4 separate regions of the Mus musculus genome follow, and all the other regions are reported to be linked to region 4. The links are microRNA targets in miRTarBase. Many come from high-throughput screens and were not tested one by one. Region 4 holds a microRNA gene; each other region holds the end of a gene's coding sequence.

Region 1 (7,096 bases), not on the chromosome of region 4:
AGTTAGACTTAGTTGGTTGGCCTGAAAAGACCCAGAAATCTCCCTTTCTCTGCCTCCCAAGTACTGAGATTACAAGTGTGTGCCGCCATGCCCAGCCTCCTTACATGGGGTCTCAGGGGTTGAATTTAGGTCCTTAAGCTTGCAAGACAAAGTCCTTACTAACTGAGCCATATCCTCAGCCCAATGTTTTGTTCTTCTTGGAGTACTTTTGTCTGCTTTAGAAAATTGTCTCCGGTCAACAGCAGGGAGCGTTGGGCTGGGCAGCTGGGAAGTGAGCACACAGGCATGTAAGGGTGATGCATCTGCCATCGTAGTAGAGGTGAGCTAGGGTCTTTAGCCTCTTGGCCCTTGGCCTATTGCTCTAACCTGCCCCTGGGACAAGAGGCAAACTGCAAAGACACCCTGTCTCCAAGATCCCCAGACTCACCCTCCCATCCTGTGCTTCACAGATTCTTCCCACGGAAGCCACGGGACCCACGTCAACGTCACCTGCATCGTGAACGTCTGTAGCAGCTCTGACCACAGTTCTCAGTGCTCTTCCCAAGCCAGCGCCACAGTGGGAGACCCAGATGCCAAGCCCTCAGCGTCCCCAAAGGATGAGCAGGTCCCCTTCTCTCAGGAGGAGTGTCCGTCTCAGTCCCCGTGTGAGACTACAGAGACACTGCAGAGCCATGAGAAGCCCTTGCCCCTTGGTGTGCCGGATATGGGCATGAAGCCCAGCCAAGCTGGCTGGTTTGATCAGATTGCAGTCAAAGTGGCCTGACCCCTGACAGGGGTAACACCCTGCAAAGGGACCCCCGAGACCCTGAACCCATGGAACTTCATGACTTTTGCTGGATCCATTTCCCTTAGTGGCTTCCAGAGCCCCAGTTGCAGGTCAAGTGAGGGCTGAGACAGCTAGAGTGGTCAAAAACTGCCATGGTGTTTTATGGGGGCAGTCCCAGGAAGTTGTTGCTCTTCCATGACCCCTCTGGATCTCCTGGGCTCTTGCCTGATTCTTGCTTCTGAGAGGCCCCAGTATTTTTTCCTTCTAAGGAGCTAACATCCTCTTCCATGAATAGCACAGCTCTTCAGCCTGAATGCTGACACTGCAGGGCGGTTCCAGCAAGTAGGAGCAAGTGGTGGCCTGGTAGGGCACAGAGGCCCTTCAGGTTAGTGCTAAACTCTTAGGAAGTACCCTCTCCAAGCCCACCGAAATTCTTTTGATGCAAGAATCAGAGGCCCCATCAGGCAGAGTTGCTCTGTTATAGGATGGTAGGGCTGTAACTCAGTGGTCCAGTGTGCTTTTAGCATGCCCTGGGTTTGATCCTCAGCAACACATGCAAAACGTAAGTAGACAGCAGACAGCAGACAGCACAGCCAGCCCCCTGTGTGGTTTGCAGCCTCTGCCTTTGACTTTTACTCTGGTGGGCACACAGAGGGCTGGAGCTCCTCCTCCTGACCTTCTAATGAGCCCTTCCAAGGCCACGCCTTCCTTCAGGGAATCTCAGGGACTGTAGAGTTCCCAGGCCCCTGCAGCCACCTGTCTCTTCCTACCTCAGCCTGGAGCACTCCCTCTAACTCCCCAACGGCTTGGTACTGTACTTGCTGTGACCCCAAGTGCATGTCCGGGTTAGGCACTGTGAGTTGGAACAGCTGATGACATCGGTTGAAAGGCCCACCCGGAAACAGCTGAAGCCAGCTCTTTTGCCAAAGGATTCATGCCGGTTTTCTAATCAACCTGCTCCCCTAGCATGCCTGGAAGGAAAGGGTTCAGGAGACTCCTCAAGAAGCAAGTTCAGTCTCAGGTGCTTGGATGCCATGCTCACCGATTCCACTGGATATGAACTTGGCAGAGGAGCCTAGTTGTTGCCATGGAGACTTAAAGAGCTCAGCACTCTGGAATCAAGATACTGGACACTTGGGGCCGACTTGTTAAGGCTCTGCAGCATCAGACTGTAGAGGGGAAGGAACACGTCTGCCCCCTGGTGGCCCGTCCTGGGATGACCTCGGGCCTCCTAGGCAACAAAAGAATGAATTGGAAAGGACTGTTCCTGGGTGTGGCCTCAGCTCCTGTGCTTGTGTGGATCCCTAAAGGGTGTGCTAAGGAGCAATTGCACTGTGTGCTGGACAGAATTCCTGCTTATAAATGCTTTTTGTTGTTGTTTTGTACACTGAGCCCTGGCTGAGCCACCCCACCCCACCTCCCATCCCACCTTTACAGCCACTCTTGCAGAGAACCTGGCTGTCTCCCACTTGTAGCCTGTGGATGCTGAGGAAACACCCAGCCAAGTAGACTCCAGGCTTGCCCCTATCTCCTGCTCTGAGTCTGGCCTCCTCATTGTGTTGTGGGAAGGAGACGGGTTCTGTCATCTCGGAAGCCCACACCGTGGATGTGAACAATGGCTGTACTAGCTTAGACCAGCTTAGGGCTCTGCAATCAGAGGAGGGGGAGCAGGGAACAATTTGAGTGCTGACCTATAACACATTCCTAAAGGATGGGCAGTCCAGAATCTCCCTCCTTCAGTGTGTGTGTGTGTGTGTGTGTGTGTGTGTGTGTGTGTGTGTCCATGTTTGCATGTATGTGTGTGCCAGTGTGTGGAGGCCAGAGGTTGGCTTTGGGTGTGTTTGATCACTCTCAGTTACTGAGGCAGGGCTCTCATCTGTACCCAGAGCTTGCACATTTTCTAGTCTAACTTGCTTCAGGGATCTCTGTCTGCCTATGGAGTGCTCAGGTTACAGGCAGGCTGCCATACCTGCCCGACATTTACATGAATACTAGAGATCTGAATTCTGGTCCTCACACTTGTATACCTGCATTTTATCCACTAAGACATCTCTCCAAGGGCTCCCCCTTCCTATTTAATAAGTTAGTTTTGAACTGGCAAGATGGCTCAGTGGGTAAGGCAGTTTGCGGACAAACCTGATGACCTGAGTTGGATCCCTGACCATAAGGTAGAAGAGACCTGATTCCTGCAAGTTGTCCTCTGACCACCACCCCATACATGCTTCTGCATATGTGCACACATCACATTCTTGCACACACACTCACATACCATAAATGTAATAAATTTTTTTAAATAAATTGATTTTATCTTTTAATCATTATTTTTGCTTATCTGTTTGTTCATACATGGAGTTTTGCTGTATACCCAGTCTGGCTGCATCCTCCAGGCACCTTGAACTTGGATATTCTCCTGCCTCAGTTTCGAGAGTGCTGAGTTATAGGCATGTGCAACCGTGTCAGGACCCTTGGCGTTACATTATGTTTTCGAATCTTATTTTTCCATCTAAGACTGACAACCACCTTGCCAAAGGATGACCTTGACTTTTGTATCCTCTTGCCTCTACTTCCCAAGTATTGGGATGACAAGTCTGTCCATCCTATGATTTGTGTGGTGCTGGGGCTTGAACCCAGGGGCCTCGTGAATGCTAGGCAAACGCAATCAGCTGCCCAACCCCGAACTTCACTTTTCACCTGTGATTTCTTAACATGGTTCCTGAGCAGACAGCATGATCCTGTTGCCTTGAGGAGCTCTGCTCGTTGCTTTGACAATGCTCTATTTACTAAAGAATACTTATAGAGTTCAAGACTCCAAAGCAGCAGTTCCCAACCTGTGGGTATGACCTCTTGGGTATCCCATATCAGATATTTACATTAAACTTATAACAGAAGCAAAATTACAGTTATGGGGTAGCAACAAAATAATTTTTTTTTGAGGCAGGGTTTATCTGTGTAGCTCACTTTGTACAGACTAGGCTGGCCTTGAACTTAAAGATCTGCCTGCCTCTGCCTTCTGAATGCTGGGATTAAATGTGTGTGCCAACATGCCCAGTGCAGTGAAATAATTTTATTGTTGGGTCACCAAAACATGAGAAAGAGTATTAAAAGGTCATAGCGTTAGGAAGGTTGAGAACCACTGCCCCAAAAGATAGTAGAAATAGGTAATAGCATTTTAAAAAAAGATTAATTTCTTTTTCCGTGTGTGTGTGTGTGTGTGTGTGTGTGTGTGTGTGTGTGTGTGTGTGTGTGTGTGAAGGGTGCTGAATTCCCTAAATCTGGGATTACAGACAATTGTGCCAAATGGGTATTGGGAACCAAAGTTGGGTTTTCTGAAAGAGCAGCAAGTGCCCTTAACTGCTGAGCCCTCTCTCTAGCTATAATAAACTTTTTTTTAAAAAAATTAAAAAAATTTAGCACTCTGCCAGGTGTGGTAAACGTCTTCAATCCCAGCACTTAGAAAGCAGAGGCAGCTGGATCTCGGTGGTTTAGAGGCCAGACTTGTCTCACAGTGAGTTCCAGGCCAGCCAAGACTACATAGTGAGTCCCTGACTTCAAATACATATAGCATTCTTGAGGCCAGAGAGCAGGCTTGGAGGATAAAGGGCCTTTCTGTTGAGGTTGGCAGCCTTTGTTTGGTCTCATGTCCCACATGATGGAAGGACAGAGCTGACTGACCTTCACTCATACACTCAACACACATACATAATAAACATAATTAATTTATTTAAAAAAAATATGTAGTATCCTTGGCTCAAACTGGAGCTCTTTTGGTAAAGTGTTTGTCTAGCATGCCCAAGGCAGTGGGTTCAATCCCCACCACTGCATTTACTGGGTAGCCTGTAATTCCAGCACTAGGAGGCAGAGGCAAAACAATCGAAAGTCAGTCATCCTTGGTTACAGGCCAGTTCAGAGACAGCTCGGGGTACCTGAGAACTTGCCTCTGAAAGGAGGAGGAGGAAGAGAGAAGGAGAAAAGAAGAAGAAGAAGAAGAAGAAAAAGACAACACTAACATTGGTTTTGTTGTTGTTGTTCTGTTTGGTCTTTTTTTTTGTTTTGGTTTTGTTTTGGTTTTTTGAGACAGGGTTTCTCTGTGTAGCCGTGGCTGTCCTGGAGCTCACTCCGTAGACCAGGCTGGCCTCAGACTCAGAAATCCTCCTGCCTCTGCCCGCTAAGTGCTGGGATTAAAGGCATGTGCCACCACTGCCCGGCTAGCATTGTTCTTTTGAGGAGACCTTTTATAGATCATCTGAGAGTTAGTGTAAGCTTTGTTTTAGAACATTGCAACATTGTATTAAAGCCGGACTCACAGATATTTAAGTGTTGCCTTAGTTACTTTCCTCTTTACAATGAGGAAATACACAACAAAAGCAACCTAAGGAAGAAAGCATTTTAGGTTTTGGTTTTGGCTTTGGTGTTGGCTTTTCAGCCCCTAGTTTGAGAGTCCAGGCCATCATGGAGGGGAAGACAGGCAGCAGGTGGCTGGCCACAACACATCCGGAGTCAGGAAGCAGAGGGGCAAATCCTGCTCAGCTTACTTTTTTTTTTCCATTTTGTTTAGTCTGTGACCCTAGGGCTTAGAGCAGTAGTTCTCAACCTGTGGGTCTCGACCCCCTTAGGAGTCTAATATGAGTTGTCCTGCATATCAGATGTTTACATCATGATTCATAATGGTAGCAACATTACAGTTATAAAGTAGCAACAAAATAATTTTAGGGCTGGGGGAGGGGTGTCACATAAAGGGCTGTGGCATTAGAAAAGTTAAGAATCACTGCCTTGCCAGGCATGGTGGCACATGCCTTTAATCCCAGCACTTGGGAGGCAGAGGCAGGCGAATTTCTGAGTTCAAGTCCAGCCTGGTCTACAGAGTGAATTCCAGGACAGCCAGGACTACACAGAGAAACCCTGTCCCAAAACCCAAAAAACAAAAAACAAAACAAAACAAAACAAAAACCACTGCCTTAGAGGGTGAGACTTCCCTTCTCTGTTAAAAACCCTAGAAGTTTCCTTTCACGGCTGCTCTGAACAGTCAAGTTTGACTGTGAAAGTTAACTGCAGAACCTCTCATTTCCTTTGATTTGCAGATATTATGCAAAAAGAAAAAAAAAGCTCATGAACTTTTTTGTTGGGGTTGGGGGTTAAGACAGGCTCTCACTTAGGGCGGGCGTGGTGGCTCATGCCTTTAATCCCAGCACTCGGGAGGCAGAGGCAGGTGGATTTCTGAGTTCAAGGCCAGCCTGGTCTACGAAGTGAGTTCCAGGACAGCCAGGACAATACAGAGAAACCCTGTCTCAAAAAAAAAAAAAAAAAAAAAAAAAAAAAAAAAAAAAAAACAACAAAACAAAACAAAAAGACAGGGTCTCACTATGTAATCTGGGTTGGCCTGAAACTCACTAAGTACACAAGGTTGGCCTCAAACTCAGAGATCTGAATGCTTCAGCCTCCAAAGGGCTGCCATAAAAGGCATGTGCCACCATACTCAGAACTTCATGAATTCTTTGTTGAAACTCTGGCACTGAGCATTGAAAAACCAAGAGTGTGGGTGTAGCTTGATTGCAGAGCACTTGTCTACATTCTTGGGGGGGGGGGAGGAAAGAAAGAAAGAGAGAAAGAGAGAGAGAAAGAGAGGAAGAGAGAAAGAGAGAGAGAAAGGGAAAAGAAATTATGACTCAATCATTGATATGATTTTTGAGACACAGTCTCATCCTCAGGATCACAGAGTAGCTAGACAGGCTAGCTCAGTCATCCCAAGGGAGTCAAAGCTCGTGAACCGCACAGCTAGTGAGGAACATGACCCCACAGCCTGCTCAGTGTGCCTTGTGAATCTAGCCCAGAGCATTTTTAAAGTACACCTCACAGCAAGCTACCTATTCTAGTAGAGGGACTCCATTTAAAAGAAGCACTTGGTAGGGGGCGGGACTTGAGAGTTACTTCATCCCTTAGGAGCACGGCTGTTTTTCCAGAGCACTGGGGTTCGAAATTTGATACCCACATGGTGGCTCAGAATCATCTGTAACTCCAGTTCCTGAAAATCTGATGCTATTGTGCAGCATTCCCCCCCCCCCTTCATTATTTTGTCAGGATATTTTATCAGAGCAACGGAAAAGAAAGCAAGACAAGCAAAAGTGCTGGAAGCATCCTGGGCTGGGCTCCTTCTCAAAAAGGTTCATGTTCCTGCCAGAGGTATGTCCACTGCCAGTAGCTAAAGTCACCTCTTATTGGTAATATATTCCACCCCGTGAACATGTGTGGTGACTCATAGCCACCTGTTACTCAGGTTCCAGGGGATATGCCACCCTCTTCTGGTCTCCAAGGGCACTGTGTGTGTGCTGTCCA
Region 2 (7,119 bases), not on the chromosome of region 4:
TGGAACTTGCAAGTTGTCAAAGAGCACCTTAAGTCTTGGAGTTGGCTCACTGAGACAATTTCTCAGGGTCTTTTATACGCAACGCTGCTTTGGCACATTCATCATGCCCCATGGCTTACTATATTTTTTATTTAGTGAGATACTGTCTTCAAATCTTTAGAAAATCAGACACTATTCAAGTTTATAGACACAAAACCATTGAATATACGTGGAATCTTTCTTGGTAACTTCCTACATTTCTAACTTCATGTGAATTTTTTTTACACAGAGGAAGCGGGATAGTGAGAGTGAAAGTGATGAGACCCCAACAGTTCCCCAGTTGAAGGAAAAGAAGAAGAAGAAGGATAAGAAGCCCAAAACTGTGCTAGAAAGTGGGGGCGAAACTGGAGATGGGGTATGTGTGAACCATGGGTGTGCCTTTGTGTCAGCTGAGTCTTTGACAGGAATTGTGCGAGAGTGGGGTTCCTACCATTGCCTTTTTTGGTGCTGCCCTGTGTTCTAGATTTGCCTTGTCTACCTTCTTGGACACAGAAGTAGGGGCACCCAGCCTTTCAGAACAGTGGATCATGGTTGAATTATGTTGCTGCTGGGTAGGGAAGGTGTATTAAGTAGATCTCTCTAAGACTTCACCGAGAAGGTCACAGGCAAAATTTGTTTAACCCCAAATGTCTTAGATTTTTGAACAGACTTGACTGTGCAATTTGTCAGATTTCTTTTGGGAACAGTAGTCATAAATGTTTTGTCAGTGGGTACATTGAACTTACTTTTACTTTCTCTTTCTTTAGGACAACGACACCACCAAAAAGAAAAAGAAGAAGAAAGTAAAAGTGGTAGAAGAGATGTCTGAATAGTTTAAGCCACTTCTGGAAGCATTATGTCCAGCTGGGAAGAAAAAGAAAAGCCTTATTGGAAAAACTTTTTGTTGAGGGAGAACAGAGGTCCCAGAGTAGAAAGTTCTGGTATACTTTTAGCTGCCACTTGTGACCTCAGTGGTTAGCTGGTGTGGCCATCTCATCCCATCCTGTCCTGTTTTAAGGATATGAGAGATAAAATCAGGCCTTTGCCACCAACCCCTCTGCTTGCTTGAGGAAGCCACACCTTTAGACATGGCATGGCCTAGTAACTATCTGCAGCTATTTACTAATGAGCATTTTCAACAATGCCATAGATAGTCCTCTCCTACTTTGCTTTTTAAAAAGTTGGTAAAAATTAAATCTGCTACATAAAATGGTATAGAACCTTCTGTGAGAGAAAAAATGTAATTGAACTATGTTCACTGGGGGACTCTTATCTCCAGTGTTCTATGAGGACTGCTCTATTCAGGTATTAACCTTGCCTGGTGGTATCTATGATATTTAGGCTAGTACTCTGTATTTTTGTGTACAACAGGATTTCTCTATATGGCTACTTGTGTTTCTTATGGAAGCCAAAGCATTCCTGTACCTTCCTATTTGTTTTCTTTTAAAGAATGGAATTGCCGGGCGTGGTGGCGCATGCCTTTAATCCCAGCACTTGGGAGGCAGAGGCAGGTGGATTTCTGAGTTCAAAGCCAGCCTGGTCTACAGAGTGAGTTCCAGGACAGTCCAGGCTATACAGAGAAACCCTGTCTCGAAAAAAAAAAAACCAAAAAAACAAAAAACAAAACAAAAAAACCAAAAAACAAAAAAAACAAAAAAAAAAACAAAAAAACAAAAAAAGAAAAAAAAAAGAATGGAATTGTTCAGAATGGAATTGTTCATTGCTGAAGAATGTAATTTGTAGTTTTTTTTTTTTTAAAAAGTATTCCTGTTAGATTTACTATGATAATCTTGGACTGGCAACAAAAGTGAGAGAATATTTTTATTAAAAGTCTGAGGTTTATGTCCTATTTTGAATTTGCTTTTCCTTTGGCTACTTTTAAATTTCCTAATTCTGAGTCTTTCTTACATTGGCACTGGGGCCTATCTGCTCTCAAGGGAGATCATTACTAATCCAGGGTTAAGAGGAAAGGGGTAGATGCATTTATATTGTACTGGGCTTGTGAAGAGGTTGGAGGTACTCCAGGTAGGAAACTGCCAGTTTTGGTGTTGACTGCAGAGGGAGCAGGGAACTTTGCTTAAATATGTGCCCAAAACCAAGAATATAAACACAAGTTTTAGGGGAAATTGTTAATAGCATAGGCAGGTATAGAATGCCCAAACAGCCCCTGCTTTTGTAACATGTTTTAAACCATTCTCTTACGACTTAACAAGTCCTAGAGAAGACGCCTTTGTGCATTGTGAATACCAGACCTATAGAGGCAGTGACAGGTAATTCCCAGAGATCTTATGTTAATGTCATTGCTTGGAAGGTTAAGATTGGGAATGGAGTTACAGGGTCACGGGTACTTTAACACAGCAGCATTTTTATTGCTTTGGAAGATTTTCCCTACAGCAGACATTCTATTGCACAGCTGTTTGATTTTGGCATTTTAGAAAGTTTTCAGAAGATATTTATTCCAGAGTAAAAAGACATTCTATAGTTGAAAGCAAAGGAGCTCAGGCTTCAGGGGGACAGTTGGTTTATCTATGTAGCATTGCATTTGGTTATTCTTATGGCAATTTTCCAGAGATCATTTTGAAATGTAGATAGTAGGAAAGCTTCACCCCTTTAGGAGCCTGAGTAAGAAAACAGCAGAGCTAAAAGTTGAAGCAACCCTTTTGGCTTAAGCAAGGGAGGGGGTGCGGGGAGGTGGCATTCCAAATGCTGGCTGAAACATGTTTGCCAATTCTGTAAGCTTAGTAAACCCAGGAGACAGGCACCCACTGTGGAGAACTGCAAGCCTGGTCAAAGGCTTCTTGCAATTTCTTAAGAGTTTCATCAACACTATTATTCACCAAAGAGAGGTCAAAGTAATGAGCATACTGACTACGGATGGCCTCAGAGTCCTTCTGCAGCTGCTGCAGGGCTTCAGTCTGCAAAGAAGAAAGCCATAGATGAAGCAGCAGTCTTTAATCACAGCAGCAAAGGGAAGATTTAAACAAGTTTACATTAACTGGTTCCCCATCTGTTTTTTTGCATGGTGGTGATCCATCCTGTGGCCTAGTATCTGCTAGGTAACCAATTAAGAATATAATGTTTGCCAAAGGGGTTGAGAACCACTTAACTATTCTAATGAATGCCAAACTAACCCTAATTACCTAGCACAGCCTTCACTAGCATTCACTTAGTTTTAGCCCTTTGTTTATGGAAAAGCCATTTTAGCAACTACTACAGCTATAATCCAAGGATAAGGGAGAAAGTTTATTGACAAGTCTCAAGCCTCTGGCTCCAATGGTCAGTTAACTACATAAAGGCAAAAGGATAGAGAAATATGTGTCATAGTGGTGGTGGGGATATTTGTAACTTTCATTACAGGGAAGTACCATAATATAGAATTCTTAGATGAAGTCACTAACTCAATGGAAACATGAGCTAAGGATATGGCCAGATATACAAGCAATACAAATAACTTTTAATAAGTGTGTGTGGCAGTCTTATTGACTCGACTGCCTTTGAACTCCAGACTGGCCTTGAGCTCCTGATCCTCTTCCTTTCACCTCCCAATTGCAGTGATTGACTCTCAATAGTAAGAAACAATCTTTTATAGTAAAACAAAGTGAAAATGCCATTCTTCTAAAATGTTAACCAATTCTTTTAAAAATGTTATGAATGATGTTAAAGAGGAAACAGCCACTTTTACAAGCAGGCTCCTTTCCCACTGTAGCCACACTGCACCCTGTGATGGATCTAGTACCACCTCCATCCTTCACAGCTCCTTCTGTTTGCTTCACATCAGTATATATCATATAAGAAATAGGATTTATTTAACTGTCCGTCTCAGCCATTAGAACTGTTCATTCAGGACTATGACTAGAATTGAATTATTTAATAACTAATCTCTTGAATAACTCTGGAATGAATAAAATATGCATGCCCTTTGTCTTCTTGGCCTTGGAAAAAACAGTTGACAATGACCTAAAAGGTGTGGACCTCCACCCATGTGACCCCTTTCCCACCTGAGTGCCCTGGTCAGTAGGTGCGATGAACACAATGAAAGGTGAAAGCTCAGCTGTCCGAACAGTCTTTAGGGTCTAGGAAAAGGGAAGAAAAGGAGAAACAAACAACCCAGTTGTCTGTCAGAATGTATTCCTTCTAATAAGTGTTAAATCCCAATACCAATTTGTATCATGCTGACCCCACTAAAACTTTAGGAAGCAAGATTTCCAGGAGCTCACGTCCCTCATTACATGGCTGAAACCATTGTTCCTGCCCTTTTATGCCTACATACCTGGGGCTCAATGTCAAGGATGGCAATCTTGTCCTGCTTATGAATCTGGTGCACTGTTTCAAATTTGGTGCCAAACATGTTGCCCTGATAGCTGCCAAACTCCAAGAACTCATTGGCAGAGATGTTCTTCGTCATCTCCTCTGTTGAGATGAAATGATACTCCTTCCCATCTTCCTCACTCTTCTTTGGTGGCCGTGTTGTATCTGTGTATAAGAACTCAAATCCTTGATGAGCTCTTCTTGGTCCTTGCTATCTTTTAGTGTACTGACTCAAAATGTCTATATGGAAACTCTACCCATCTTTGGGGCAGATAATATAATAGAGATGTTTTTCTCATGAACTGAAGGATTGGTACTGGAAGGTAGTACAGATACAATACCCCCACCTACCCATCTCTCCAGCACTGTTTTGTTTTTATGACATGGAAAGAACACAATGGTTTTGTTTAAACATTTTGTTAAAAAGTTAAAATGTTGGGGCTGGCAATTTTTCAGCATTTGCCACAGAAGGCTCATAACCTGAGAACCTGAAACCATGTGGTGGAAGGAAAGGACTGACTCCTATAAATTGTATTCTGACTTCCATACACATGCTATAAAATGAGTGCACACACACACATGCTGTGGCATGAGTACACACACTGCATAATAATACTGTATAATAATACTGAGTAATAAATAATTCTTTAAAAAAGTTAAAATGTTAAGAGTAACACTCTAGTGCAGAGATAAATTATATATTCCCAGCCTCTTTTTATCCTATGATGAACCATCTTTACCTTCCACGCCAGACACTTGTCTCTAAAATGACTTCTTTCCCTCAACTTGCACATTGAAAACCCTGGCAAGGGTGTGTGTGTGTGTGTGTGTGTGTGTGTGTGTGTGTGTGGGTGTGTGCCAGTGCCATGATGTGCATATGAAAGTCAGGGGTCAACCAGTGGGAGTCAGTTCTACTACCATGTGGTTCTGAGGGTTAAATTCATATTGTTAGGGTTAGCAGCCATCTCCTCAGCCCTATAAGTATATATTACATTTCCAAATATTTTGTGTTTTATGTGTGATTTTTCCTTCCTTCCCCCTCTCCCTTTCCCTTTCCTTCTCCCTCCTACTCCCTCTTTCTCTCCCTCCCTCCCTCCCTCCCTTCCTCCCTCCCTCCCTTCCTTTGCTCTTCAATGTGGATTCCAAAGACTGAAATCAGGACGTCATACTTTCCGAGAACTTTACTGACAGAGTTATCTCCCCAACCCCCCAAATTTTCAGTTTTCATGATTAAATATATGAAATAAAATAACAAGAACAAAAACATGTGACATTTCAGAAAAACACTGATTCTAAATTTTGTAACAGGACATTTCTGCCTGACCCTTAGGCTCCTGAGAAATACTTACATGGGGCAGGGTACGCAAACTTCTCTGGATTGTGACTGAGCAGACCATTCTTAATATGGCTACGACCCACCCCACTGGCTCCTGTGTGAGGATAAAGAAAGGCTTCCATCACTTTCACTCAGAAACACTGCTGGGGATAAGACAAGGAATGGGAGGTGGATTTCTATATCCCAGTGCTCAAACAGTTCGGTGTTGTAACAAGGCTGCAACTGAGTCATTACAATTGTCAAGATTTGGGGTCACCAAATAGCTTCAATTCCGTAGTATCCATTTGAGTGGGAAGTCATTCTAAGGCCTAAGAGTTAAGATATGGAACATAATTGCTATTTCTTCAGAGGAATTAGCTACTGGGGAGTTTTCTTTTTATTCCCTAAGCCATCCAAACAGGTAGACAAAGAGCAAACTTAATATAAAAGAATTATGTGCTAAAAACAGTAGAAAACCGTGTAGTATGAAGTGGATCCAGATAGATTACTTGTAGGATCCAGAAGTTCTTTATAACTGCTATGTGAGGTATCTAAGAGACCACACTACATATCTTCCTTACTGCCTTTCCTGAAGAAGGGTAGACATATAACATGGGATTGGAAATAAAGACAGAATTGTGCTCTTGAATTAGCAAATTGGTGAGGAGCAGTAAAAAGATACCGATCAACACCAAGGTCTTCCTCTTGAATGCAGGGAGCCGAACAACTTCCTCATAGGAAACAACATCCAACTGGTCAAAAACTAGAGACAAAGAAAATCAAATCATTAATTTTCAGAGGTGGGGTGATAAAGCACTGGCTGGGGTTAAGGAGTTGACACACTTGATCCAGCAAGAAGGGAAGGTTGGGTGTGGTGGTACATGCCTATAATCCAAGGTCTGAGGCCCTGTCTACAAAAAAGTAAATAAAATGCAGGGAGAGAGACCATGGACATGAAATCAGAGGGGGGTTGCTGGGAGGGATGTTTAGATATTTCTATGTGATGAAGAATGATATATAAGAAAGTAAAGCAGAAAGTACTTCCCATAAAAATTCCGAGGAAAGGACTGACATGACCCCATTTTAATTCTGAATGAACTATCTAGAACGTTAGGTGAGAAAAAAAAAAAAAACTGCAGGGGCTAGAGTTTAAGCAGTGAGACTGGACACACCAAACTCTAGCTCAATTCCATGACTATGCCGTGAAAAACAATTCCAAGCGGAATCCAAACTTACTGAGGAATAATGTTTTGCTCATTAAATATGCTAGCAAAATGGCTGTAGCAGCTGGAGGAGGTGCTGATAAACTGAAGAACAGGATGTGAGAGCAGGCTCACTCTGTATTACATATGCATGTGGTTCTTTTAGGTCTATGATTTGGTTTTCTCAGCATCCCCCATCTGAACTTTTTACATGGCTCTGTAGGCTAGTCCATAGGATTCTGATTTTATATGCTTTTTTTTATAACTCTATGTTCT
Region 3 (7,119 bases), not on the chromosome of region 4:
CTAGAAAAGGCAGGAACGTATACAAGAAGCCAGTGCCAGGAGGGAAGGAAGTGGCCAAAACCATGGGGGCATGTCAAAGACCACAAGAGCCAGCTCAAAGCAGCCCTGGCCACAATTGGGTCTCTCTGAACCTCAAAATAAAAAACAACACCAAATGGATTATAATCTACCAAAAATAAAGATGTTATGAATCCATTCTGTTGCCAGGAAATAAATAATAGAGCCGGCTATCCCTTCCAGTAAATGCCAAGGCATGGTGAATGAGAGAGTCAAAGGAGCCTGTGACTCCCATTATGTGGTACATTATGGCATGCACCATGGCCATAATGGATTTAGGAGAAAGTATCAATGAAGGTTAAAGTCTGATGAGGGATTTTTCAAAACGTTTCCCCACGTGTCACCCACTAAGCTCAGAGGGGACAAGAATGGCTGATGGTGAAAGAGCCCTGAGGAGTCCGCCCATTATACACAGGGCTCAACGGGGGCATCAACATTTCAGAGACAGATGGACACTGCGTTGAAGGCACCATGCCAGGTCAGTTCACCCTGATAGCAAGGACGCCCAGTACAGCCTCATCCATGGTGGGCACAAAGGGTCAGGGCGGTGGGTGCTGTCTTAGCCACAGATGTCAGCAGACGAGTGACCAAACATGGTGCTGTGACTCTGGGCAGACAGCAGAGCAGCTGTAGATGGCATCCAGATAGCCAGGGGAAGCTCGCCGTGGCCCGCATCTCATGCGAGAGCTGCCTCGGGAGGCTATGTGCTTGTTTGCTATCTGTGGCTGTCTGGGAGACTGTCTTGTTAGACAGCACTGAAATGTCTAGGTGGAAAACAGTCTGGTGTGGAGTCATGTGCCTGTGACAGCCTCCAAGACTCAGGGGAGTGGGCAGGGGAGAGGAAGAAAGGAGAAGAAAGCAGAGGGGAAGAAACAGGTGAGCTTGAACTCCTGATTCCATTGCTTCTACTGCCTAAGTCCTGGGAGGGACTCCAGGTGTGTGCTACCATTGCCCAGCTCTTATGGGAACTTTAAATATTCTTTCATTTCTGAACTTTTCTCCCTACAACCTGAAGCTAGAAACGATGAGAAATGTGAGGAGCCCACACCTCCCAGAGAGAACTTAGCCCAACAGGGGCTAAAGGGAAAGCCTGCTTGCTTGTTCTACCCACCTGGACTGTATTATCAAGGGAAAAATAAACAAACTGTATAGTTTCACCAACTTAGCTGACAAACATTGCTAACTTTGGGAGCCAAGGTCTCACACTGGTTTGCAACATTGCTAGTCTCCAACTAACTTTGCAGTAGGTATCTCCTCTGATGTTTGCCTAAGTTTCTATCCAGATCTTGAAGGCTGCCTTTGCTGTTGAAAACACCTTACTCCTGGGCTTGCAGGTGAGTGACAGATGAACCAAAACAAGAACCCCAGTATTTGTCTTCATACTGTATCTGTCCTCTTTTCAGCTCTGGGTGTAAATCACTGAGAACTGTTTTATCTAAAGCTCTAACAGAGCTTCTTTGACCTAAATTTGCCTTGTCTCTCTTTTCCCACTTTAAGGCTAAAGACACCCACCAGCTCCCATGACCACAAACATCAGACTAGGAAATTAAAGCAGCAGCAAGGTTCCTGGAGCCTCCCAACCTGTTTCTCATTGCTCTCCTTTATAGCCCTTCTCTCTCCATTTCTGCTGTGGATCTGTAACCCTTCCACCCCTGGAGCTGAGGAAAACTCCCACTTCATTCTTTGGTCACTGGCAAGTCTTTCTTCTCCCTAGTAATGGATTCTTGGGCACTGGTTTTCATGTGGAATATGCTCTGTGTACAGACGGGGCCGCATGACCCTGGTAACTCCTCCTGGTCTGTCCTAACACTGAGGACGGGGAAAGACAAAGGGACCGTGCTTCACACCAGACTCGCTGTTCTCACCAAGACTTGACAGAACTGCTTGCACGGTACGCAATTTCTATACGCTTTAAAGACAGTTTCCAAAGACACGTGGCTTTGTTTGGGAGGGACTTCTCTTCCGGTTTCCCGTCAGTGTTGACTTTTGGCTAATGAATCTGTACATCATCCCTGCCTCACCTGCAAACTGGTAGAAGCTTAAGAGAAGTTTTGATGTTGAAAGATTTGACTGTGTACTTCACCAAACTAGGGAAGGGTATTAAAGAGGAAAACTGTCGATAAAAGCAGGAGAAACATTTAATGAAATCCAGCAGTGGATTTAAAACTGGAAAGAATATTCCCTTAACCCAACTAAGCCATCTATTAGGAAACAGCAACTGTAGGTGTTAGAGCTTCTCCTCGATGGCAGGAAAGAGAGATGGCGAAGTACTATGCCACCTGTAATCATTTCTACTCCGTATCAGAGCGTGTGCATATTGGAACACGTGAAACACAATCGTTACTATTACAGCTGATCCAAGTATTATAGGACAATTTACAGATCAGAGTGCAAGTTCAGCAAAGTTGCTAGATGATACATATAACATCAGTTAGCAAAGCCAACGTAGAGAGAAGCAGGAGACGAGCCTGTATAAATGAGAACACGTGGGTTTTCAGAAGGTGTCCTTTACTACAGGTACAAAATCAAGGTTGGGACTAAGCGTAAGTTGTACATCAGACTCACTGTTCTCACCAAGATTTGATAGAATTGCTTGCATGATACACATTTTCTATCTATGCATACGTAAGTTGTCTATTACAAAATGCGAGATATAGCACAATTATTTCTTTATAAACATGTAATAAAAATACATAGCTATGGCTTATTCAGAGATGCACGGGACCCAGCATCATAAATAATCCTCAACAAGTCTGCTCATTCATTGTAGTCACAAAATCCCAATGTGACAAGATGATCTAATATATCCAAGATATAACAAAGATCCAAGAGTTGCTCTACAATTTTTGACAGTCAATTAGAAACCTACATGATTAAAAATGGTTTATTGGTAAAGATGAATGGACAAAGTTAACAAAATATAGAGTTCAGGCACATTTCCATGATTATATGGACATGGGACATAATGGTGGATTGGTGGCTTTATAAATGTATAAATCAGGAAGGAGAGAATGATCTACAGTTTTCAAATGTTAGGAAAATATCTATTTCTGTATAATTACATTTAGTCATTTACCTTATTGCTGACAAAATACCCAGACAAAAGAACCTAAGGAAAGAAGGGTTCATTTTTGGCTCACATTACAGGTGACACAGTCTGTCATAGCAGCCATCAGGAGGTCCAAAAGGGCATCATGAGCTAGGAACCACATGTTCAAAGACGTGAGTCTACAGGTGGGACACTTCCCATCCAAACCACATTGTAACTAACAAGGCCATTCACAAGATTGCATCATGACCATAGGATATTAAAAAACTGAATGTAGCAGCTTTGAATGTAAACGCTTCCAGTGATAAGCAACACAGAGGTGACACAGGAATGAGTCAAGCATCTCCACTTTTTTTTTTATGTGAAAGTAAAAGATCCTTTAAAATCCTAAACAAAAATTCTGTAAAACATCTAGAACGAAGCTAATATAAAACTGAACCCTTATGAGGAATGTTACCCAAGCAATAAAATTAGGCCTCTCATAATACTAATGGGAAAATTATATTAATTATAAAGAAGTCTATTATCTTCCAATTAATGGGCAAACTAATGCAATCCCGGCCAAAAGAGCAACACTTCAGTGGAATCTAATAAGCTAATTCTATCATTTGCTTGGAACAGGAAATGCACAAAAATAAGACACAGAGGACGAGATAAAAAGGAAAATGGACTTTCCCACAGGTGACAAACGTCAGCGTGCAGAGTGTGAGGGAACAGACAGACACGGGGTCTGACGTCAGCCTTGCAGTGCACTACGATGAGTCGAAGCTGGCATTTGGAGTGGTGGCGGATGATGGACTAGCCCAGAATGGCTTTTTGTTCTTGCCTCTTTCATAACTGTCTTTCATTTATACTGAGGAAACTAGGTGAATATGGTATTCTGTCTGGTGTTAAATCAGGGAAATTCAAATTAAAGTAAGGTTATTTTATGAAACAAGACTAATTTTAAAACAATGTACCAAGATGGAAACTAGTTGCTGTGGGCAAGCCTGAGGAAAGTGAGCCTGTGATGGGTTTGGAGATCAGCAGGTCAGCGAAAGCAGAGGTACATAAGTGAAAAGACCTGCATAGTGCGAACGTGAGATACACAGGAAACTTACAGCATTAGTGTGTTACATACATTACACCAATTAGATGTTAAAACAGTATTAAATAACACTTCATTTATTTCACTCCAAAGTATCTGGTCAAAGATAGCTGTTCTTGACTAGTAGACCATCCACCCTCTCCTGAAATGCCAGGAGACGCCTGAGGCTCTCACAGACATCCTGACCAGCAAGCCAGGGAACTTTCAGGGGCATGCACACCATGCCTCTGTGTAAGCTTCAAGCTAGAAGTCTTCCATCTCACTGCCTGGAACTGTCATGGGGCCACACCTGCAGGGAGGCTGAGAAACAATTTTCAGCTGGGCAGTCATGAGTCCAGGGGAAACACAGAGGAGGAGTAACCCATGCCAGGAGCCATGCCAATGCCTGGGCAACTGCACAGAGCTCTGGAATGCACAGGATAGGGAGGCAGGAGTGCTTGAAGGATTTCTAACAGTGACAATACAGGAAAAACCAGTATTTTTAAATCTTTTATTTGTAATTATTTAATATGTTTAATACATTAAATCTATTTATACCGCACAAAGTATTTAAAGTTCAAAGAAATCAGATTGCAGCTCAATGTATAAAGGTGTGTATTGTTAAAAAGTACTTTAACCTGGAGAACTGGTCTCTAAGCTTCTCCCAGCTTGGCTGGATAACCATGTTTACAGATTCAACCTTCCCAGGCTGGGCAGGTCAGTGGCAGAGGTGGAACACGGATCCCTTCCTGACCGCGTGGTAGGTAACTTTCGACAGTTAAAGACTGTCTATACAGCCGGGCGTGGTGGCGCACGCCTTTAGTCCCAGCACTCGGGAGGCAGAGGCAGGCGGATTTCTGAGTTTGAGGCCAGCCTGGTCTACAAAGTGAGTTCCAGGACAGCCTGGACTATACAGAGAAACCCTGTCTCGAAAAAAAAAAACAAAAAAAGTGTCTATACGACATTCTCTAGCTCAGTATAACTTAGATCTCAGACATCACAGGCACAGCACAAATGTTTCATGTTAGTGAGTCAGGTTGGTAGTCAGCCTAAGGACAAGGGCAATAGCATTTCCTGTAGGCTGATCACTGGAACAAAAAATAAATAAACGAACGGGTGTTGTGACTTCCTTCTGAGCCAAGTACTAAAGTTTAGAACTGACTGACCTATTTAAACAAACCCCATCCGCCATCTTTAGATAATGATGACAGAGAAGAAAAACCAGACTTCCTACTTTGACACGTATGTATGAACTGGGAAGGAACTTGGTGGTAAAGCACATACTGAGCATGTGCAAGGCACCAGAGTCTGTCTTCAGCAACATTTAAAACAAACAAACAAACAAACAACAAAACCCAAGCCTGCTAATCTAAAAGTGCTATGAAGAATTATTTATATGTAATTAATGATTTGACAGATAGCAAGTGTCTTTCTGTATGTAACCAGTGGGTCAGAAAACCCATGCTGTATCAAGGTACCAAGATTATCGGATACTGTGAAGTGACTTATAAGATGGGGTGGATAAAGAGAAGACATATGCCCAGCACCAGTAAGAAGAACCGAGATGTATTCTTAAATACTGTGTGCTCCCTGACAACATCTTTTGGGTTAAGTAACGTATTTGCTCCATTAAACAACTGTTAGGTCCCTGGTTTTATAACTTAATTCACAGTGCCACCAAACAAACAAAACAAAAACCCTCCAATTATTTTCTTCTTCAAGTTTTAGTCTTGAGGTAGATGACATAGTAAATACCAAGTACAGTCACTCATGCACACGCGCGCGCGCGCGCGCGCACACACACACACACACACACACACACACCCCACGAACACTAATCACAGGCTCGGGGAGCCAAGCTTTCCATCTGAAAGAGTTTAGAGAGCATCACTGTTAGCAGTATTCTGGCTTCAGCTTCCAAATCCCTTCCCCACCAGGAGTTCTATGGAAATTGCACAGATTTCTCAGCAGTTCTCGGAAGACACAGGACTGTGCCACGGACAGCTTGGACTCAAACTCCTGCAGGATTTCCTGAGTGCTGGCCTGGCCATCCACCTGGGCCTGGAAAGCAATGAAGTTCCTCATGTCCACCAGAAGGTCGTCGTGTTCGGTGCCGCAGGGAGGCACGGCAGCAGCCTCAGCAAGATGTTCACTGTCACTCTCTAAGCGCTCCGGCAAAATCATGTGGTTTCTTGCTCGCATTCTGGCCAAGAGGGAGGAGGAACTGGGCGCTCCAGACACAGATGCTCCATCTTCTTTGCCACTGAAGTGCTCAGGGGTGTGAGCTTTTCCCTCCTTTTTCATGTTGTTCTAGAGAAAGAAGACTACACGTCAACAGACAGACTTCCAGATTAGTCCACTACTTCCCCAAAGGCTGTGAGGACCCTCAGGATAACTGAACTGCCATGTGTATGGTGAGATGCGGGAGAGGGCATGGTCGCCATCCGAGGCCAAGGTAGAGATGTGGATGTGAATCTACCCATTTATAATGGGCACCTCCTAAAGAAATAAGCAGGGAGAAGAGAACGAAGCCGTCTCCTGGATCCGAGTATGAGAGCAGGGAGCAGAGGGAGACCGTGCCTGTAGGCAGTGCCTGGGCCACGGGATAAGGAGCAGCTGTCTCAGCCTTCTTCCTTTCCCACTCTGTATCACATGTGCTTCCTTAAACCAACAGACCTAACCTGGAAAGCACCTTAGACTCCTGCTGCTGAAAGCAGGAACTCGGCAGACTGGAAAGTGTCTGTTCTCAAAGGAGTTCACATGGAGCTAAAACTGGAGCCTTAACCTGGGTGTCTTCACGCGTGAGCTTTCACACATCCTTAGTCAGAAAGACAGAGTGCTGTTTGCCCAACACTCAAGAAGGCTCTCTGGCCATTTAGTTTAGAGAATGGTGTTTCTAAAGCTGACACAGCTCCTCTTCCTCCAGATAGGTTGCTGTGCATATTAA
Region 4 (7,119 bases):
GTGAAATCACACCCTGCGGTTCTGGGAACCTCAGACTGGAGAAGAAGGAAGCTGTTGCCTAGTGGCTCAAGTCTGAGCAGGTGTGCTGGGACTGCTTCCTCTTCTCTCTGGAAGGAGCCTGCTCGCCCAGGCAGGGTGGGGCAGCCCTTGTCAGTACCTTGTGGGAGCAGGGCGGGAGGCAGGTGTGCCCATTAAATAGGTCTGCGTCTTCCTGCCTTCCAGTCTTTATCCAGCCCCAGTACATCCCCCGCCCCCGTGCACACACCTAGATGCCTGCCTGGCAAACGGAGAAGAGATGAGAGTTCAAGGTTGAAGTCAGAAGGTTTGCTTCCTGGCCGCGGTTCAGGACTCTCCTGGTCTGCACTCCTGACCTTCAGCTCCCTCATCTGTGTAGAGTGATGGTGGTGGCGGCGGGGAGGCGAAACCGTCCAGCCTTTTCAGTTAACACACTGTTTATTAACTACCTCTGGTAAACTGGAGAAATAGCCAAAGCAAGATTTAAGCCTGGTTCCATGCGTCTTAGACTCTAGCAAGGACAGAGTGACTCAGATGGAGTCTTCCTCTAAGCCAAGGTACAAGGGAGGCTGAGACACTTCTAAGGAAAGGGTAGCGCATAGGCTTGAGGTAGGAGAGCAACACATGGGTTGGTACTTACAAGGTTGGTGGGTAAGGATGCCCTAAAGATACCATTTTTTTTGGTGGATGGCTGATTGGTGTAGCAGCCCCTTTTCAGAAGGTTCATAATAAGAAAAGGGAGGCCAATGGGCCCGAGAGGCTGACAGAAGCTTAGCCAATTCTAAACACTGGGGTACAGTAAAAGACATGATTGAATTTTTTTTCAACGGTGGCTATTGAGTAAGCCCGGGGGAGAGAGATGGCTTAACAGGAAATGAGGATAAAAATGCTACAAAGAAAACATATGACTGTCACCCCCTCTGAGGAGCCTTCTCTGATTTCTCCGCCTTTGACCTGTGCGTGTCTCCCTCCCTCTCTGGCCTTGCTGTCTGGGGAGAGAGAGAGAGAGAGAACTGAGGTCTCCGCAGCTTTCTCTTTTGCTGTTGCAGAGCACTGCGGCTTTAAAAGCGGCTCTAAGCCTCCCGGAGCCTCAGTTTCCCCAGCTGTGTAGAAGCAGGTTGTCTGGCAAGGGCCCGCCCAGCGCTAACGCAACGTGATTCGCTCTAACAGTAAGGAGGGGGTGCCCGCATTGCTGCGCAGGCACCCGGCTGCTGGCCCGGGCACCGCCACCTGGCTGCCGGAGCTTTTTTTTTTTCCCCTGCGGGGGGCTGCGAGACCTGGTCCCTGCGCTAGACTAGGAGCAGGAAAAGCCGGGGGTGCGACCCCAGGCTCGCGCGGCCCCGCCCCCGCAGCCAGCCCGCCTGCCGCAGCCGGGGGCCCGAGCTCCGCCCTCCACCCGCCCGCCGGGCAGCCTCCTCCCTCCTCCTCGCTCGCTTGCTCGCTCGCTCGCTCCCTCCCCCGGGCGGGCTCGGCGCTGACTCCGCCGCACGCTGCAGCCGCGGCTGGAAGATGGCGGGGAACGACTGCGGCGCGCTGCTGGATGAAGAGCTCTCGTCCTTCTTCCTCAACTATCTCTCTGACACGCAGGTACTGCCAGCAGGGAACGCAGGCCGGGGACGTGGGTGCAGAACCGCGGGGCTGCAGCCGCAGCTGCAGAGGGAACGAGCGCAGCGGTGGGCGCACCGGGGTGATCGGGGGGTTCAGGCTGCAGAGCCCCCCCTTCCACGTGCCTTGTGCTGCGCTCCGTTACAGGCGTAGCGAGCTGCAGGTCGCCGGCGCATGCTGTAGCATTGGGGGACACAGCCAGGGCCACCTAGAGTCTACTGTCCCCCACTGGCAAAGTTGAGGGGTACTACAATTCCTCCCGCAGGTAGAATCCAGCCAGGGTCGGGGGATCCCTAAAGGCTGGCTCTGGGTGTTGTAGGCGCGTCCTCGGCGCCTGGCACTTGCTGCCGTACTTTCACGTGCACTTGTGGCGGGGCTAAGGGAGGCGATCGGTAGCCCTGGAGTCCCCTGGTTCTCCAGCATCGGGTACCCCATAGCCCCCCACCTGCTCCGGCAGCGCAGAGTTTCCTGTCAGTTGCTGGCTAGGGGAATAGGGGTCGGCAGGGCACGTGGACATGCGGGCGGAGATTGCGTCTTCCAGCTCTCACTAACCGGAGGAGACCCGTTAGGAGCGAGGAAGGCAGGATCCGGGCGGAAGGACTATCTAGGGGGTGCCTGGGTCCCCCTGCGGCGCGCGTTCCCGGCGCGCGCTCCACGATGCAGGGGGAAGGGAAGGTGAGGCGGCGTCCCGGGCTCTGGCTAAGGCTGGGAGCCACACCGGCTACAAGCGCATGACAGGAGTGTGTGCTCTGGTGTTCGGGAGCGAGGACGAGGAAGCTGTGGGCTTGGAGAATAAAATGGGGTTTGCTGCTAGGACAAGCAGTTGCGGGAACATGTGTGCACGCAGCGTGGGGGCCCTCACCTCTTCCTCCGTTTCCCCCTCTAGCCCGTGCCTGTTGCAAGCCTAAAGTTTGGCTCCCGAGTTAGGGCTTTTGCTCCCAGCTCCTGTCTGTGTGTCTCCCCAGAGGCTGGGGGTGCGACGGAGCCTGGGAGGAGACCCCGGATGCGGGGACACGCCTGGGTCCGGAGAGGGGCTGCAAGGCGGAAACCCGTGGGACTCGCGGGGACAAGCTGAGTACCTGGTGTGGAAGCGTTTGTGCCGGCCCGTTTTGCATAACACTGGGAGGGAGGGGAAGGCGGAGGGGGGGGGCGGGAGGTGGGAGGAGAGAGGGAAACTTTGCTTCTGGTTAGAATCTACCAGTCTTTGGGCGGTAGCAGCTGTCATGGGACCGGGTGGGCGGGGAGAGGCTTGCAAGCTGACTCCTTGCGGTGAGACGCGACTTGGAGGGGGGACGCAGCGGCCGAGAGACGTTCTGCTCCGGGAAACCTCCCGGTGGCGAATTGAAGCTGGCGACTAGGACAGGCGTCGTTGCGGGGGTGTCGCCGAGAGGAAGCCCGCCACGCGCGGGAGACGGCGGGCCATAGCTCTCTGCAAACGCCGTGGCGTCCCGGAGCCGCGGGGGCCGCGTGGTGTGTGGCTGGCGCGCTCTCGGGTGGGTTCATAGCAGAGGCCCAAGGGGATGGTGGCGGGTGATCGCGCTTCTTCAGGTCGGGAGGCGGTGTTAATGAGCGGGCTGTGCGCGGGTGTGTGTGTGTGTGTGTGTGTGTGTGTGTGTGTCCCCTGAGCCTGTGCACACGCCGCGCGCGCCGGGCGCGTACCTTTACCTCTGACGAAACTGCAGTGGAGCGCCGGGCAGCGTCGCCGGGCACGGTCACACGCCCGGTGTTTATGTCTGCCCAAGGCGGGCCTTAGCACCCCGGGGGTGGACAGCGTGGAACCAGGGCTGGAGGTGGTAGGGGCATGGGGGTCCGGGAGAAGACCTGCACCCCAGATCTCGATTGCCTGGAGTCGTGTCCATATCTCTACACTTAAGAACCGAGTAGCCCAAAATAGCCAGTGAGACTCCTTCACACATACCAAGATTGTCTGCTCTGGACAGGACCCTCGACTTTAACTCTAGCTTTTGGTGTTTGGCTCACCGATAATTAATTAACTGTTTGCCCTTTTAGCCACCAGCCTATCCCACTCAGTAGGGTAATTTCCTAGCTTCACCAAAGGAATCTGGAAAATTGGGTAATCAGTTGTCAGCAGAAGCAGTGCAGTGAAAGTTAATTTGGGACGTTTGTTCCCCCCCACCCCACCCCCTTTTAACTTAATCACGTGATAGGCCGAAGATCTCCGGGTGATCTTTGCCGGGCCAACTTGGGAAATGTAATTGATACCAGGAGCTTTGCAGCCGCCCCTAGAAGGCTCAGAGCTGAGCGGGAATGGGCGGGGCAGCCCGCCGCCTCATTTTACAGTTGGGGAAGAGGCTGCGAGGGGTGAACTGCTTGTCCACGACCACTCAGCCAGGGGGTGACAGAGCCACCCAGGGCTCCTGACTCCAGGTCCTGTGTGTTACCTCGAAATAGCACTGGACTTGGAGTCAGAAGGCCTGAGTGGAGTCACCTTCCCCGCTCTCTGGCTGGGTGATCCTGGAGCAAGCCATTTTAACTCTCCAGCCGTGTTTCTCCATCTGTCCAATGGGGCCGGTGTGGTGCTGACGGAGAAGCCAGAGGCCTGCTGGTGGGGGTGAGCCTGTGTTTGCATGTGAGCTGTCTGGCTGTCCAGCTTCTTCCCCACAGCCCTTCCCAGACCCTCCCCTCCCCCCAGCTCTCCCCCTCGGGAGGGTTGGGGAAAGTGGATTGTCTCTGTTCCCCCAAAGAGTTCTTCTTGTCTTTGGTGGCTAACCCAGGCTTAGATTATAGAGATCTGTTTGAGAGACTTAACGTTTATTCGTTGGGGCCAAAGTAGCCATTTATCAGAACCAGGCTTGTGGAAGCGTTTTGGAAATGTTTGAAGATTGGGTTCCAAAGACTCTGTGCTGACTTCGCTTTTGTTCCAGCTGTACCCCTTGCTTAGTGGGCCTTTGCCTACCATCCCGCATGGCTTTCTCCCTTAGTAGGCCTTCCTGCCAGCTTGCCCTGCTCTCTCTTCTGCCTTTCATAGTTCGTTATAAAGCCAAGCACTTTATGTGTTTGAGTCTATCCAGTAGGATCCAAGTTGAGTCTTTTATCTTTGTGTGCCCACATGGCACCTGTCACCATGCTGAGCAATGCCCCTTTGCCTGGCTCTTGATGAGGTACATGGACTACAAATAGGGGTACAGCTGAGCCTTGCCAGACAAGCTCATGGGCTGACAGAGAAGACAGCTGGGTAGTGAACATGGGAGAGGGGGCATTGTCGAGGGCTACAGCTGCTAGCAAAAGCCTTGACTCCAAAGGCCATGCAGGAAGCCCAGCAAATAAAGGAATTATTTGAAGTCACTTGAGAGCCTGGAAGAACTGTGACAGTGTCAGAGACGACAAGGACATTATAAATCAGCAAGTCCAACCCTTATTTAAAAATAATTTTAACAGTGTTAGAAAACACTGCTAAGTGTCATGAAAAGGGAGTCATGTTTTATATTTTACATTTGTCTAAATTAGCTAATTTTGTATGTGTGTTTGCATGTGTGTGCTCTGGCATGTGTGTGGAGGTCAGAGGACGACGCCATGAGGTGCAGAACTTTGTTCTCTTCCACAAAATGGGACATGGAGATTGAACTCAGGTGGTCAGCCTTTGCCTGCTGAGGCCTCTCACCAGTCCAGAAATATGTAATATTATCCAAAGATAGCTGCTTTAAAGTCTATGTATCTCTAGATGTTTTTTTTCTTTCCTATTCATATAGACCAGTTATTTTGGGGGGTGGGGGGAGAAGAAAATGATAAATGAAGTTATTCTGTTATACTAATTTGTATCTTGCAAGCACACTGTTTTGTAACTTGCTTTTTTTTTTTCTCCTCCTCACAATATGCTGTGAACATCTTTCCTCATCAATAAATATTGTGCCTAATATCTTAATGGCTGTATAGTATTTCATGGGACGTTGAGCCAACATGTGTCAATCAATCCTCTGCTGTCGCTTGGTTGCTTGCGTTTATCCTACTGTGAGCAACGCCGAAACAAATATATTTGTGTACATGTGTTCTTTCCTTCATTTATATTCCTAGAAGGGAAATTGCTCTGTCAAAGGAACCACGCAGGCATTTGGTAAACACATAAGGAAATCGTCTTCTAGAGAGATTGCATTCATTTACACACTCATCAGCATTGTGTGGAAACGCCTGGCTGGCCATACCCCAGTTATTCATGCCATTTGTATTCTACGAATTTGGTCAACAATATACTTTGTTACTCTTGCCGTTCATGTGCGTTTCTTTGATGTTCAGTGGCTGCCCCCTTGCATGGCTCCAGGGACTTAACCTGACTAGGGCAGTGAGGGAATGAAGAGGGACACATGGAGACACAGAAATGACTGGGATCCGCTGGATGGGGCTCTCTGATGGAGAAACTCTCAGATGCTCAGAGTGTATTATATACTGTGGTATAGTGAGGTGGCATTTATTGCATACAGCCGAATTAAGGAGGTGGGATTTATGGTCTGTTTCTGTATCAAGGGGCCAGGTTTAGCTACCTTTGGTAGGAGCCATCTTCCTTGGGGAACAGTCTTCAGACTGTAGTATCTAAGGGAAGACGACTAAGGGTGGACGTTTTCTGGCCTCATTGTCAACATTCACACTTGGACCCCCAGGAAGGCTTTGCCATGCTTCAGAGCCCCCCACTGATGGGGGTGGAGCGGTGCAGGGTGCTTTGCCATTTTCCTATGGGTCTGAGTTGTAACCATGCCAACACCCTCTGCACCCCATGCTCAATCCCTTCCCATGGACAATCACTCCCTGCTGGTTCCGTACAGTACCATGGTCCTACTTGGCAGATGGATCTTTGGGTTCTACTTGGCAGATGGATCTTTGTTAAGAGGGACCTGAGCACACTGAGGGGTCCTGGGCACAGGGAGGACTGGAGAAACGACTTGAAGTCCCAGTGCTCCTTGATGGGTCTGGTATAATTCAACCTCCACTGCCACTGAAGCCAGGGCCAGCTGCTGTCCAAGTCAGAGTTGCAGCTGTGTGGAGGCAGATGCATTTGCCCACCTTTGGCCTGCATGGACTGGGAGCAGGGTAACTTCTTCATCTGAGTACATCTGGGGGCATGCTCCCCAGAGGCCCGAGCCCCACTTTCTTTGGACCCTCTGGCTGATGCTGGTGGGTAAGCATGGCTAAGAAATCCAGCCTAGCAGTTGGGCACCTGGGGCTCGTGTTTCCCCCTGGCCTTGGGGCCTCCTCTCTCCAACTGGTGCCGGTCAGCCAGGAACTACACTACACTAGGCTATGAGTCACCCTTTTCCTTCCCTCTCATTTAGATGGAGCACTGGCTTGAGCCAGAAGCCGCCCCGCAGATGGGGCCTCAGGCTTGGAAGTGAGGTCATGACAAGAGCATTGCAGTGCTAACAGCTGTCTTCCCTTCCTAAGCAGCAGCATTTATAGAGTGCCCTCCTGGTCACATGGTCTTTGCCGAGCCATCAGTTGGCACCATTACAGTTCTTCCTCACAAAGATCCGTATGACCTAGGTATTGTTT

The links. Region 4 holds the annotated microRNA mmu-miR-378a-3p (ACUGGACUUGGAGUCAGAAGG, at 4,034-4,054, shown strand). A microRNA usually pairs through its seed, bases 2 to 8, with sites in the 3' UTR of a target mRNA and lowers its output. Matches are read on the target gene's strand: a 7mer-m8 pairs with bases 2 to 8, a 7mer-A1 pairs with bases 2 to 7 and ends in A, and an 8mer does both.
Region 1: miRTarBase lists Tnfrsf1b as a target of mmu-miR-378a-3p. Seed matches in the 3' UTR shown: 8mer at 2,484-2,491.
Region 2: the mRNA of Dkc1 is a reported target of mmu-miR-378a-3p. Seed matches in the 3' UTR shown: 7mer-m8 at 1,581-1,587.
Region 3: the mRNA of Ercc6 is a reported target of mmu-miR-378a-3p. Seed matches in the 3' UTR shown: 7mer-m8 at 5,076-5,082.

What each region holds. Positions count from the first base shown.
Region 1 is chr4:145,209,454-145,216,549 of GRCm38, reverse strand. It overlaps Tnfrsf1b (tumor necrosis factor receptor superfamily, member 1b), which reads left to right. Exons shown (of 10, transcript NM_011610.3): 10 at 450-4,182. The coding sequence ends at 763. Among named protein-coding and RNA genes, the nearest start is that of Vps13d, 18 kb to the right of the region's middle.
Region 2 is chrX:75,107,911-75,115,029 of GRCm38, forward strand. It overlaps Dkc1 (dyskeratosis congenita 1, dyskerin), which reads left to right. Exons shown (of 15, transcript NM_001030307.2): 14 at 269-394; 15 at 786-1,866. The coding sequence ends at 851. Mpp1 (membrane protein, palmitoylated) reads right to left here. Exons shown (of 12, transcript NM_008621.3): 8 at 6,324-6,404; 9 at 5,676-5,756; 10 at 4,289-4,491; 11 at 4,017-4,091; 12 at 1,823-2,933. The coding sequence ends at 2,757. Among named protein-coding and RNA genes, the nearest start is that of Gm25520, 10 kb to the left of the region's middle.
Region 3 is chr14:32,576,049-32,583,167 of GRCm38, reverse strand. It overlaps Ercc6 (excision repair cross-complementing rodent repair deficiency, complementation group 6), which reads right to left. Exons shown (of 21, transcript NM_001081221.2): 21 at 2,178-6,482. The coding sequence ends at 6,066. Among named protein-coding and RNA genes, the nearest start is that of Prrxl1, 20 kb to the left of the region's middle.
Region 4 is chr18:61,394,773-61,401,891 of GRCm38, reverse strand. Mir378a (microRNA 378a) reads left to right here and starts at 3,992; the gene lies at 3,992-4,057. It overlaps Ppargc1b (peroxisome proliferative activated receptor, gamma, coactivator 1 beta), which reads left to right and starts at 1,480. Exons shown (of 12, transcript NM_133249.3): 1 at 1,480-1,602. The coding sequence starts at 1,525. Gm52354 (a long non-coding RNA gene) reads right to left here and starts at 2,733. Exons shown (of 2, transcript XR_003952648.1): 1 at 2,700-2,733; 2 at 435-2,404.